Linked DNA regions of Drosophila melanogaster. The gene in region 1 interacts genetically with each later gene. Each region holds a gene or a part of one and is shown on either strand. Other genes may lie near its edges.

Evidence for each region.
Region 2: of Lim1 (region 1) and al, changing one enhances a phenotype caused by changing the other (phenotypic enhancement), as found in Drosophila melanogaster (2 studies listed by BioGRID).

The regions. Positions count from the first base shown.
Region 1 is NC_004354.4:8,802,605-8,807,649, forward strand, and holds the start of Lim1 (LIM homeobox 1), read right to left. Parts: upstream 3,201-5,045; 5' UTR 2,403-3,200; coding exon 2,360-2,402; intron 1-2,359.
Region 2 is NT_033779.5:376,203-381,364, forward strand, and holds the start of al (aristaless), read left to right. Parts: upstream 1-1,909; 5' UTR 1,910-2,279; intron 2,280-5,162. UniProt on the Drosophila melanogaster protein: Involved in the morphogenesis of proximal and distal pattern elements in a subset of appendages. Also has a role in early imaginal disk development.

The DNA.
Region 1 (5,045 bases):
CGGGATCGTAATGATCTTCCTTTGTGGCCAGTCATAAATGTTGATGAACAGCAGCGCAAACTTTTGTCGAAGGCGTTGCCGGTCTGAGCTTTTGTTGCTGCTGCTGCTGCTGTTGCACGTTGCTGCTGTTGCACGTTGCTGTTGCTGCACGTTGCTGTTGCTGCATGTTGCTGCCGTGTTCGCTAGCAGCAACATAAAAATTGAAAAGATGCTGCCACCAAGATATATGCGAAGAAAAATGAGCAGTCGACCAGAGAAATGGCCGATGATATTGGTAATTGAACGACGAGGGGTTACCCTATTCTATTGAAGTTTTGAAAACTAAATTCCTTAAGAATAAACACATTACCAAAGATTCAACGACCTAAATTGGTATCCTATCTTAAGTATTTCCAATACATTTTTTCCATCTCATTTCAAAACCTTAACTATACCATAAAAAATTGGATATCTTTCCTGATTCCAAATTACTTTACGAACTTTCGAAAAAAGATACAGCTACTGCGCGGAAAAGTTATCTTCATTAAGCCGAGTTATATTCAGTGGTACTTTACTTTGTAGTTTTCCCCAACTAAATGCAAGTTAAGTTCATAACTGCCAACACTTAGTCATTAGCTAATGGGTATGTCTATGAGCGAGAAATAAAACAAAAACAAAAAAATCCAACCGAGAAACAGTAGAAGCAGGAAGAAGAAAGCTTGGCAGCTTTACGACTCCACTTGGCATCAGTCCGCCGTCGTAAGGTGGCCCACTGTGCGGGTCTACGGCTTCCTGAACATCCATTTTCCAGTCAAATGTCGACAGCTTTTGACTTGAACCGCCCCCGGAGCTGCAGGCCCCAAGCCCAAAAACCCCAACAGTTCTCTAGCCAATTTATGGGGGAAGTAAGGTGTCGGCCGCTGTATGTCCAATGTCAACAAGTTAAATGGAGAATTTGCAGTTGCAATTTCCATCGAACCTCACTGGTTCGAAAACGAAGCTATTGAGGATTTTAGAATATTTTTGAAAAATTTTTTGTGGTATAAAATACCTTACTACATTTTTACTAATATGTACTTAAATCATTTCTCATTTCATTTCTTTTGATAAGAATCCAAAATATACTCGAAAAGAGTGTTCGGTCTCTAAATCTCTGCAGATCCTTAATTTTGTAGTTTATAAATGTTTTTTATAGTTATTCAAATTGATGGGGAGCTACATACATACATATAAACGAAATATTCCTCACCAACTAATCACAAAATACAAAACTAGAGGGGAGCCTTCATTTCTGAACTTTTTGCTCCCTTTTTACTATTTTTTTTTTTTTTTTTTTTTTTTGTTCCTGACATTAAACAGTCAGCAAAAGTGAAAATTTGACAGAGAGCAAATGAAATAAAACAAAAGCCAAAAAAAATGAGATGGGGTAGAGGAAGAACGGCAGAAGAAGAAGCTGAAAAACTTTGACAACTGCGCAAAAGTTTTTCAGTCCAAAAACGAACGGGAAAACAAGAGGAGGAAAAACAAAACCGAAACAAAAACAGATGAACAAGAACTTCAAAAGCATACAAAATGGTAATGCGAAAAAGAGACGGCAGATGGACGACGGGGCATTAGACGCCCCTCTCCTCCTCGCCGGCGGTCCCCTAAAAACGGGAAGCAAGTTCAAAAGTGCAAAAACTTTGCTGCTGCCCAGCCGTCGCCATTAAAAACTCCTTGGCCATCTTAACCCATTGCGGGCAAGCGGTATTGTATTAACCCACCATCCTAGGGATCGCATTTCGCCGATCCTTCAAGGGGTTGACTTCCTTTTAAGGACTTTCGACCGCACTCGACCCTACTTTTCTTATGTCTTTCTACCACCAGTTGAAAATCTAAGACCACATCCCGTCGGCATAGCGATCAAGCCATTTTTAATAGATTCCACTTTTTTGTCAGTACATTTTTCGAAAATTCACTTCTTTGCCATCTTTTAAAAGTATTTTTGAAATGTGTCATTGGTGTCATTGATCACTCGTCTACAGATTTTATAAACAATTTAAATATTATACGAAGCCTACAAACAGGTGTTTTCATTCTATTTCGATAGAGGACATCATGAATATTACTTAATCTAGATTAGATGTAAACAACTTCTATTTTCGATCTGTAAAATGTTTCATCCTTGACTTCCCAATGATATTATTCTATAGAACTACAAGCACAACTCAAAGATTTAGTGCTGATTCTTGGATGAAATGATTTCGATTGCAGTATCCTATATGTGACTAACCTTAAGAACTTGCCTGTTTGGGATTCTCACTGCAAACCCCCCAGATTTTCTATGTTTTCCTGGACCCTTAACCGCTTAATGCCTAAATTCCCCAAAACGATCACTTACCGATATTGTGCTGGCTGGTGTGTAGTACCGCCCCGAACGCCATCAGATGGTCCTTGGGCGGGGGGGCGCGGCTACCGAGGGCGGCGAACCCGTCGCCCAGATATGACGCCAGTGCGACGGCCCTCAGGGGCGCTTTTGAGGCCTCGGTGAGAATTTTGTTGTCGAATATCTTGATGCCGGGGGGATGGAGTTTTTCTTTTTTTCGGGGGGGTTAAGAGTGACTGCTTTTTTGGGGGGGCCGTCAATGGGTTAAGTCCCGCGTGTGTGTGCGTATGTGAACGAGGCGCGCGTGGGTGTGGATATATGTGTGTGTGTGCGGGTGCGGAAGCGAGAGAGAGAGGGAGAGAAAGATAGGAGCGGGCCCCAACTGCACACTTAACGGTTAACGCACATAAAGACTGGGTGGCAAGGTGCGAGCAAGAGGGGGATAGCACGTGTGTGCCGGCGGCAAATTTGGCAAAACAAAAACAAAGCGCGAAATTCCGCTCCTCTTTGAGTTGAAGAAACTTCCTCCGCTTCTATTATGCCTTATATTCCAGTATTTCTTTAGTTGTTGTATATGAAATTGATTCTTTTCTTTTTAAACACTTTGCACTATCGGCTTTTCGGCGATTCCTTGGTTTTGTTGTATTTATGTGTTGTATATTCTTCTTGTTGTTCAAGATTCTCACTTGCAAAAAAATTTGAACAACGGCAAAAATTCTCGGTTTTCGATCTCGCGGCGGAACGGTAAACAGCTGACTAACGGTAAACGGCTGCGTTGGCTCCTTTTTCGAGCGTTGCCTCGTGCGCTTTGCGTTTTGCGGGCGCTTCACGCGAACGTCAAACAAAAACTGAAAACGGAAAACGGCAAACGCGACGGCAAAGCGGACGGCCCGATTACCGATAGCTGCCAGCCGAGCGCACACGCACACACACGAACGGCGAGCCGAAGCGGCGACGAATGGCGCGCCTGGGTGCGAGCGAGATGCTAGCAGGCGCATCGCTCGCACTCGTGCTACCGAATGCGGCAAGCAGTGCTCGCATATTTCGCCTGCGCCAGAGCGAGATGCAGCGAATGTTGAGCTGGGGCTGCTGCGACGCCGACTGCGCTGCTGGCGGCGCTGCAATGGAGTCGCAGGCTCTCTCGCTCTCGCTTCCGTCGCTTCTCCTGGCTCTCTCGTGTTGGGCATGAAGAAATCATATTATTCTTAAATAAAAAAATTGTTTTTCAAAACGTTTTCTAAAAAAATGGAAAAAATATGACTAGAATATTTGGTATGCATATCTAGATTATTATTAAAAATATTTTGGAAAAGGATATACAATTTCATAACAATTGGAAAAAAATATCAAGAAATCTTAATTTTTTTTCCTTTTTTAGGATTTAATTTAGGTGATTGTTCGATAATACACAATATAAGTTCTTTGAAAATTTTGATATATTTAGCATGATAACTAAATATTTAGTTAGCCTTACTAGATGCTTGTTAGATTCATAAGATTTTAAAAATCCAAAAATTCACTTTTTTTTTAAATTCTACACACATTCTTCTGTTGATCTTGGGCTTTTGATCCTTTTCTCAAGATTGGTGCTGGCGTTGTTCCTGTAAGGATATTTTTGGTTTTTGTTGCTGTTGTTGCCCTTCCATTTTGCCCATTGTTGTTGCAACACTGGCTCTCCTGCTCTCCAGCTCTCTTTTTTGCGGTTAGAGGGGGCGTTGCTAAGCAACTGGTTTTTTTATTGTTGCTTCATTGAGAGATGCGCAAAATGGCGCTCTCTCGCTCTCACGCTCTCCGGCCGTCGCGCCCTCTCGCTCACACTCGCTGGCCGGGCCAATGGCATTTTTCAAAGTGACATTTGCCCGCGTTTTGTCCCTTTCGCACTTGGCGGTGCTTGTGTGCGTGCCAAGGTAAAATGTCAAATGCTTTTCGACTGTCAACTGTTGGTCGCAAAAACTTTTTTCTTTCCTTCTTTTTTATTTTTAGTTGTTGTTTTTGTTCGGCTGCCTCTTCTGCAACTTGTGTTTGTCACTTGTCGTTAGCAGTGCGAAAGGGAGAGCACTAGTGGCGGGGGGTGGTGGGGGCGTTAGCTGGAGAGGGACGCCCCTTTGGCGTTTTAACGCACTGGAGACAGCAAGAAAAAAAAACGGAGGCGAAGAAAAAAAAGCAAAGAAAAAGTGTTAGATAAATTGCAAGTAACAAAAAATTAGTAGAAAAAAACATTTAAAATTGTGCAAAATATTATATCTTTTTCTTTTTCTTTAACAAATGCAATTTTAATAAGCTTTCGATTTAGATAAATCTATAGCAAGACACTTATCGTAAAAATAAACCAATACAAAAACCAATAAAAACCATAAGAAATAATATAGGATTCAAATTGCAAAAATGCCAAAGATCTAAACAAACAACAAGAAAAGACAAAACTGGATAAAATAAAAAAAATGCATAAAATAAGTGAGAGTAAAAGAGAACGCATTATAAAGGTCGGGGAGGAGGCTCCCGCTCTCATTCACTCCTTACGGTCTTCCCTCTCACTCACACTTCGATAGGAAGAAGAAGATGTTCGACACAAAATAAGGGGGCTGTGGTGGGTTAAAGAGCGCCGTTTGCTGTGTGCGTGGATGTGGGGTAGTCAAAAATATTGCACATTAGGGTGTTAAGCTGTGAAGTGCTTGCTTTTTGTTTTTGCGTGTGCGTGTCA
Region 2 (5,162 bases), on another chromosome or scaffold:
AGACCCACAGCCACAGCGCGGAGTCGAAGTCGGGACCGGAAATTCAATTGTTGAGATAATAATTACATTAGGACGTGCGCGCATGCGCGACTCTTTCACTTTAAGCCTCCGTCTCTTTCGCGCTGTGGAGCGATCTGAGCCTGCTTAGAGTGGACCCGAATTGAGTCCGAACGGGGAAGAATGTCCACACGGATGTATTGAGACAGAGGAATACCTAGTACTAGATCCATTTCACCGCTAAATTACGAAATTTCCCTATTCGAATAAACCATCAAATATCCTCTTATAAGCATATATGCTGCGGACTGAATCTGTACATATAAAGACCTGACAATTCTCTAATTTGGATTCCGATTAAAATAAATTAAATGAAGTTCAATTGTGAGGATACCATCTTATTCAAGGGTAAATACATCAAGCCCTTGCTCTTCCCGAACACTGGGTATAATAAGTGCACACCTTGCGCGACGGGCTGATTGACACGGCCACATGGGGACGAGAGATACCGTGCTCGGTACCAGATATTCCCGATCCCGGTCCGAGTTTGCTGTCCATTGAACTCGTCGGACAAATGGTCACTCCTCGTCCGTCGACGGTCGATGGTCGCTGGTCTTTTGTTTGCATTTCGCCCGTAAATGAAGCGTGAAATTGGCAGCAGTGCAGCGGACTCGATCCAACTCCGACTCCAATCCCTATTCCGATCTGCAATGGAACTCGGAGAGCGTCGCATTGTTTACTTCTTGTTAAGGCCCGACAATGGGATAATATGGCCATATAATGGCAACACCAAACTATTTGTATGCAATTGCCATTAACACTTTATTTATTGCCTTGCGATACAAGCAAATTGGGCAGCGAATGATGGTCGAAGGAGGGGGACGCTTCCAGTGCAAAATGCCGCTGGAATGGATCTGTGGATGTATAAGGCCCGCTTATATAAAGCCTAATGAAGTGGTTATCAAGGAATGGAATCTGTTAGGTCTGCTCGGAAATGGCAAGAGCTGGGCTGAGTTCAGTTTTTCATCATGGACGGAAAACATTTTTCCTTGGATTACATTAAATTACGAAGATGGATGTGATAAAAATGATGTGATGTACAAGCCTATGGCTTGTATTTCACGTTGTATCAATCTAAATCAATATTCACTTATTTAAAAACTATCAACGGCTTTTCCAAACATCCTTCATTCAAATTTAACTTGAGTCATCTACATAGCTGGCTCATTGACCTTTTTCTCAAGTTATTGCCCTTCCCCGCATGACACCCCCACTCCGATGGGTAAGCAAAACAGTCTACAGTCCGACAATCATCCAATAAAGCCAACAAAGTCATTAACGAGGCCCTTAACACTACCAAAACGGTCTATATGGCCGGTTCCAAGTCCCCACCCCAATACACGCAACTCTTTTTCCCATATGTCTTGGCTAAATTATTTAATTTATGAGCCGCAACAACTGGCAAATGCATCTATGGCAACCAGAGGAAAACGCGTTGAGCTGGGGGGCAAATAAATTTCCATTTTGCTAATCAAATTTATTGCACTTTGTGCGGGGCTTATTCAATTACGCCCAATCGAAGAGGCGCGAGAGAGAGGGCCATGCGGAGCGACAGAGAGCGGTAGAGAGCAGCTCCGCCATTATTTCGCTCCGTCGAATGCTGCTTTCCCATAGGCCGAACCGCCAGAAAGAGGCGGAGTCCGCCTCCCGGCCACCTGCCGCCTCACCTGCGACACCTGCGACGATCGATCGACATGCTCCGATCGCATCGCTCCCTCTCGCTCTGCGGCACTACGAAACACTAAAAACACTGGGAGGCCAGAAAACCACTCTCGCAACATTGGAAAACAACAACTCCAACCGGTTGTTGTTTCAGACCCACCAGAGTTTTCACCTGCGCGCCAACTGCTCACCGTGTAGTTTGCTGCCGGCTCTGGAACAGCCCGGTCATCTCGTCGCGTTCGGTTCCGATTCCGATTCGAATAGTCGAGCTGGGGATACATTGTTGTTTCCGGGTTAAAGTGCGTACGATTGCGGAAGTGTCGGTATCCTGCGCGTAGTACAAAGTTATACCCATCAAAGGTGTATCGCGATCAAAGTGAACGCTTGGTACTCGGTATCTGGTTGTTGGAAGAAGTGGACAAAAGACCGTCGGCAAAAGTTACTGTTGGTGAGAGCTACAGGGCTTATTAGCCCGGTTAAATAGGAAGAGAGAGATTCAGAAGGCCAAACATTATCAAGACCATCCGTACAATATCTGGCGATTAAGGAGGAGAAGGAAGGTTAGTCTCAGACATTTTATCAAAAATATATGAAACATTCTTTGGACAGAATAGGATTTGTTATATCGAGAGCGTGCATTAAACAGGGAATCCTAGTTACTGTAACTCATAATTTTTTATCACAACCGTAGTCATTGCCTTATATCATATCAAAGATAGGGATTTTCTTAATCAAGCAATTTATATAAATTTTGTTTTAGCCCTAAACTAATCTTGACCCTTTTCCGCCACTTCCGATCCCCAAATCACATAAACTTATTATCACACCTTGCGAATAACCTACTTCTCAGCATGATAGACAAATACTACAAGTATAAGCCATAAATGAATTTCATAATTCACCTGTCTAATCATCCCAATCAATGTGAAGAGGGAAAAATAAAACGTATGACGAGACATAAATATCATTAAATTTGATTAATTTCCCACCTGGACATATCAAATCAGACAAATATCAAGCCAAATCGTATCATCGCTGTAGAATAGAATTTTATTAACTCAATTTTGAGGGTCGAAAGATTTCGCCTTTGCCTTAGCTGATAGTTCGATAAGTTTATCGCTGATTGGTTTTAATTAAACACCATTAAAGAGTACAAATTGTCAGCAGTGCAGTCAGCGCCAATAAATCACGTTTTGTCTAGCTGATGTTTTTCCCTTCTAGAGGTGGTTTTGGTCGAAAGTTGGGGGCATAGTCTTATGCTTGTCCCGTGTACCTACAGAATAAATGAAATTAACCAGCCACACCTATCACCCGCCGATAATCTTGTCAAAAGCCACTGACCACTTAGCTTCGTGACGCGGACGAGGGCCCCGAATATATAGTGAAAATAACACAAATATAGACAGATATGTGGGTCCTGATAAGGCAAAGGAAAACCGGGACCCTCTTTCCTGGTGATAATCGGGCACTTGGCCAACTGATTTAATTAATACTTATAACTCATGTGACTTGTCAGCACAAGTTTAAACGAATTTGTGACGCAAGTTGGTCGCAGTGTATTTGTATCTATGAGGTAGCATCATTCCCAATAGATAATACCGAAAAGATTCGATAAGATTGTCCCGTACAGCGTAAAATTAAAATATGTTCTCCACCGAAATGTAGTTCAATTCAATTACGGCAACATACAATTAAAACTTGTTGCCAGATACCTTAGATACTGTATCTTGTAGATATACACCCGAATTTTTGGCAGCTATCTGAACACGAACTCTGATTTGATTTGATTCGCTGTTGTTCGATTGCTCGACAGCTCCCAATTTGGGGCGCTGTCTTTTGAAGGGATGTCGGTTGATTGTTGATCGTTGATGGCAACACACCCCCCGAGAGAAATCTTCTCCAGCGGGAAGATGGCGCCAGGGCCCTTTGAGATGTGCTTCATTAATTCTTGTCCCCTGCCCCTCGCTAAATGGAACATGCAAACATGAGAAATTAACGTCGTCGTCCACAAATTGCCCACCGTCTGCCTCGGATTCGCTTATCAAACCACACAAGACAATGACAAAGGGCAGGGCGGAACAGTCGAAGATGGAGATGGCGTCGGGCAACAGTTGTCCAATCCCCAGATCCCCGATCCCCGAACACCGATCACCGATCCCCGATCCCCTCCGGTCCCAATTTATAGCTCCTCACTGCGACTGCTGTTCTTAACATGCTTTTTATGAGTAATTGGCCCCGCATCAACATCACCAACACGGGCTAAGCTTGTAGCTACAGCATCGCCATTCACCATCAACAACTTCTTGGTCTTCTGTGTGGGTCTTGAGTTGCTGATCCTGGCTCTGAGTCACAATTTGAACTTGCGTCTACCTTTGGACTACCGTCCCGGCACTCTGATCCATTAGGGTGGACACGGGGTAATTTTTGCTACCTGGGAGCGAATCTCGAATGCCCTTGGAGAGCTCGAAATCCATGTGTCAATACATTTTTACCCAAAAGTTCAAGTACATACAATTTTTATTGTATTTAGCTAATAGATAGTCTCAAATGGGAACGTGTTCTGCCTGTAGACCTAAAACTTTAATGTATACCTTAAATTGTAGACATATTAGGGATTATATAGGATAAGTAGATCAACAACTTAGTTGACCAACTTCATTCACCAGGCGTAGGGGAAGGGTACTAGACCCTTCGTTGCAACTTCGTCTGATAGGCAGTAAATTGAATTAAGATTGTGGAAAAGAACAACAAATGAGGCAGCAACTTCGACACAGGATATGAATAAACTAATTATAATTGGGAGTGTGTGCATTAGAGGTCCATAACGTACACCCCAGAACAAGAGGTACAGAAACAGACGATGATGACGGCGCCTGGCCAACAACAAGAATGCTGCCTTATCGCACCTGGTCCAAAAGACGGCGCCAAGAAACAAACAACCCAACAACTGGAAGGTGAATGGAGGGCTCAGGTGCAGCTTAAATGAGATAAACACTACGGAATTGACTCGACTCGGCCCAGCTCAGCTGCTTGTGATATTAGTTAAAAACATTTCTGGGTGACTTACAAGAGCTGGTCGAAAATAATAATTGGTCTTATCGAACCAAAAGTAAACGACCAAGCTTGGAACGTCGCTGGCCAATCCGTCAACTTCTCCAGGGGACCACCAAGGGACTGGTATCGGGGGCGATCATTGAGCTTTCGCTCGGGGCCAAAAGTTAAGCCACCCAAAATGCTTGCCATTATCGAAGAACCGGAGGCGAAATTACAATGCCGATCATCAAAGTGTGACTAAAGTGGTTTAGCCTAATGTAAACCCATAAATAAGCAGCCCAGATACCGGCCAGACTGGGGACTGGCTGGAAACTGGAGTCTGATCAATAAAGTCTGGAGAGTGGAGGATCGAGACGGAGGCGCATTAACGAAATGCCAGAAAAGAGCTT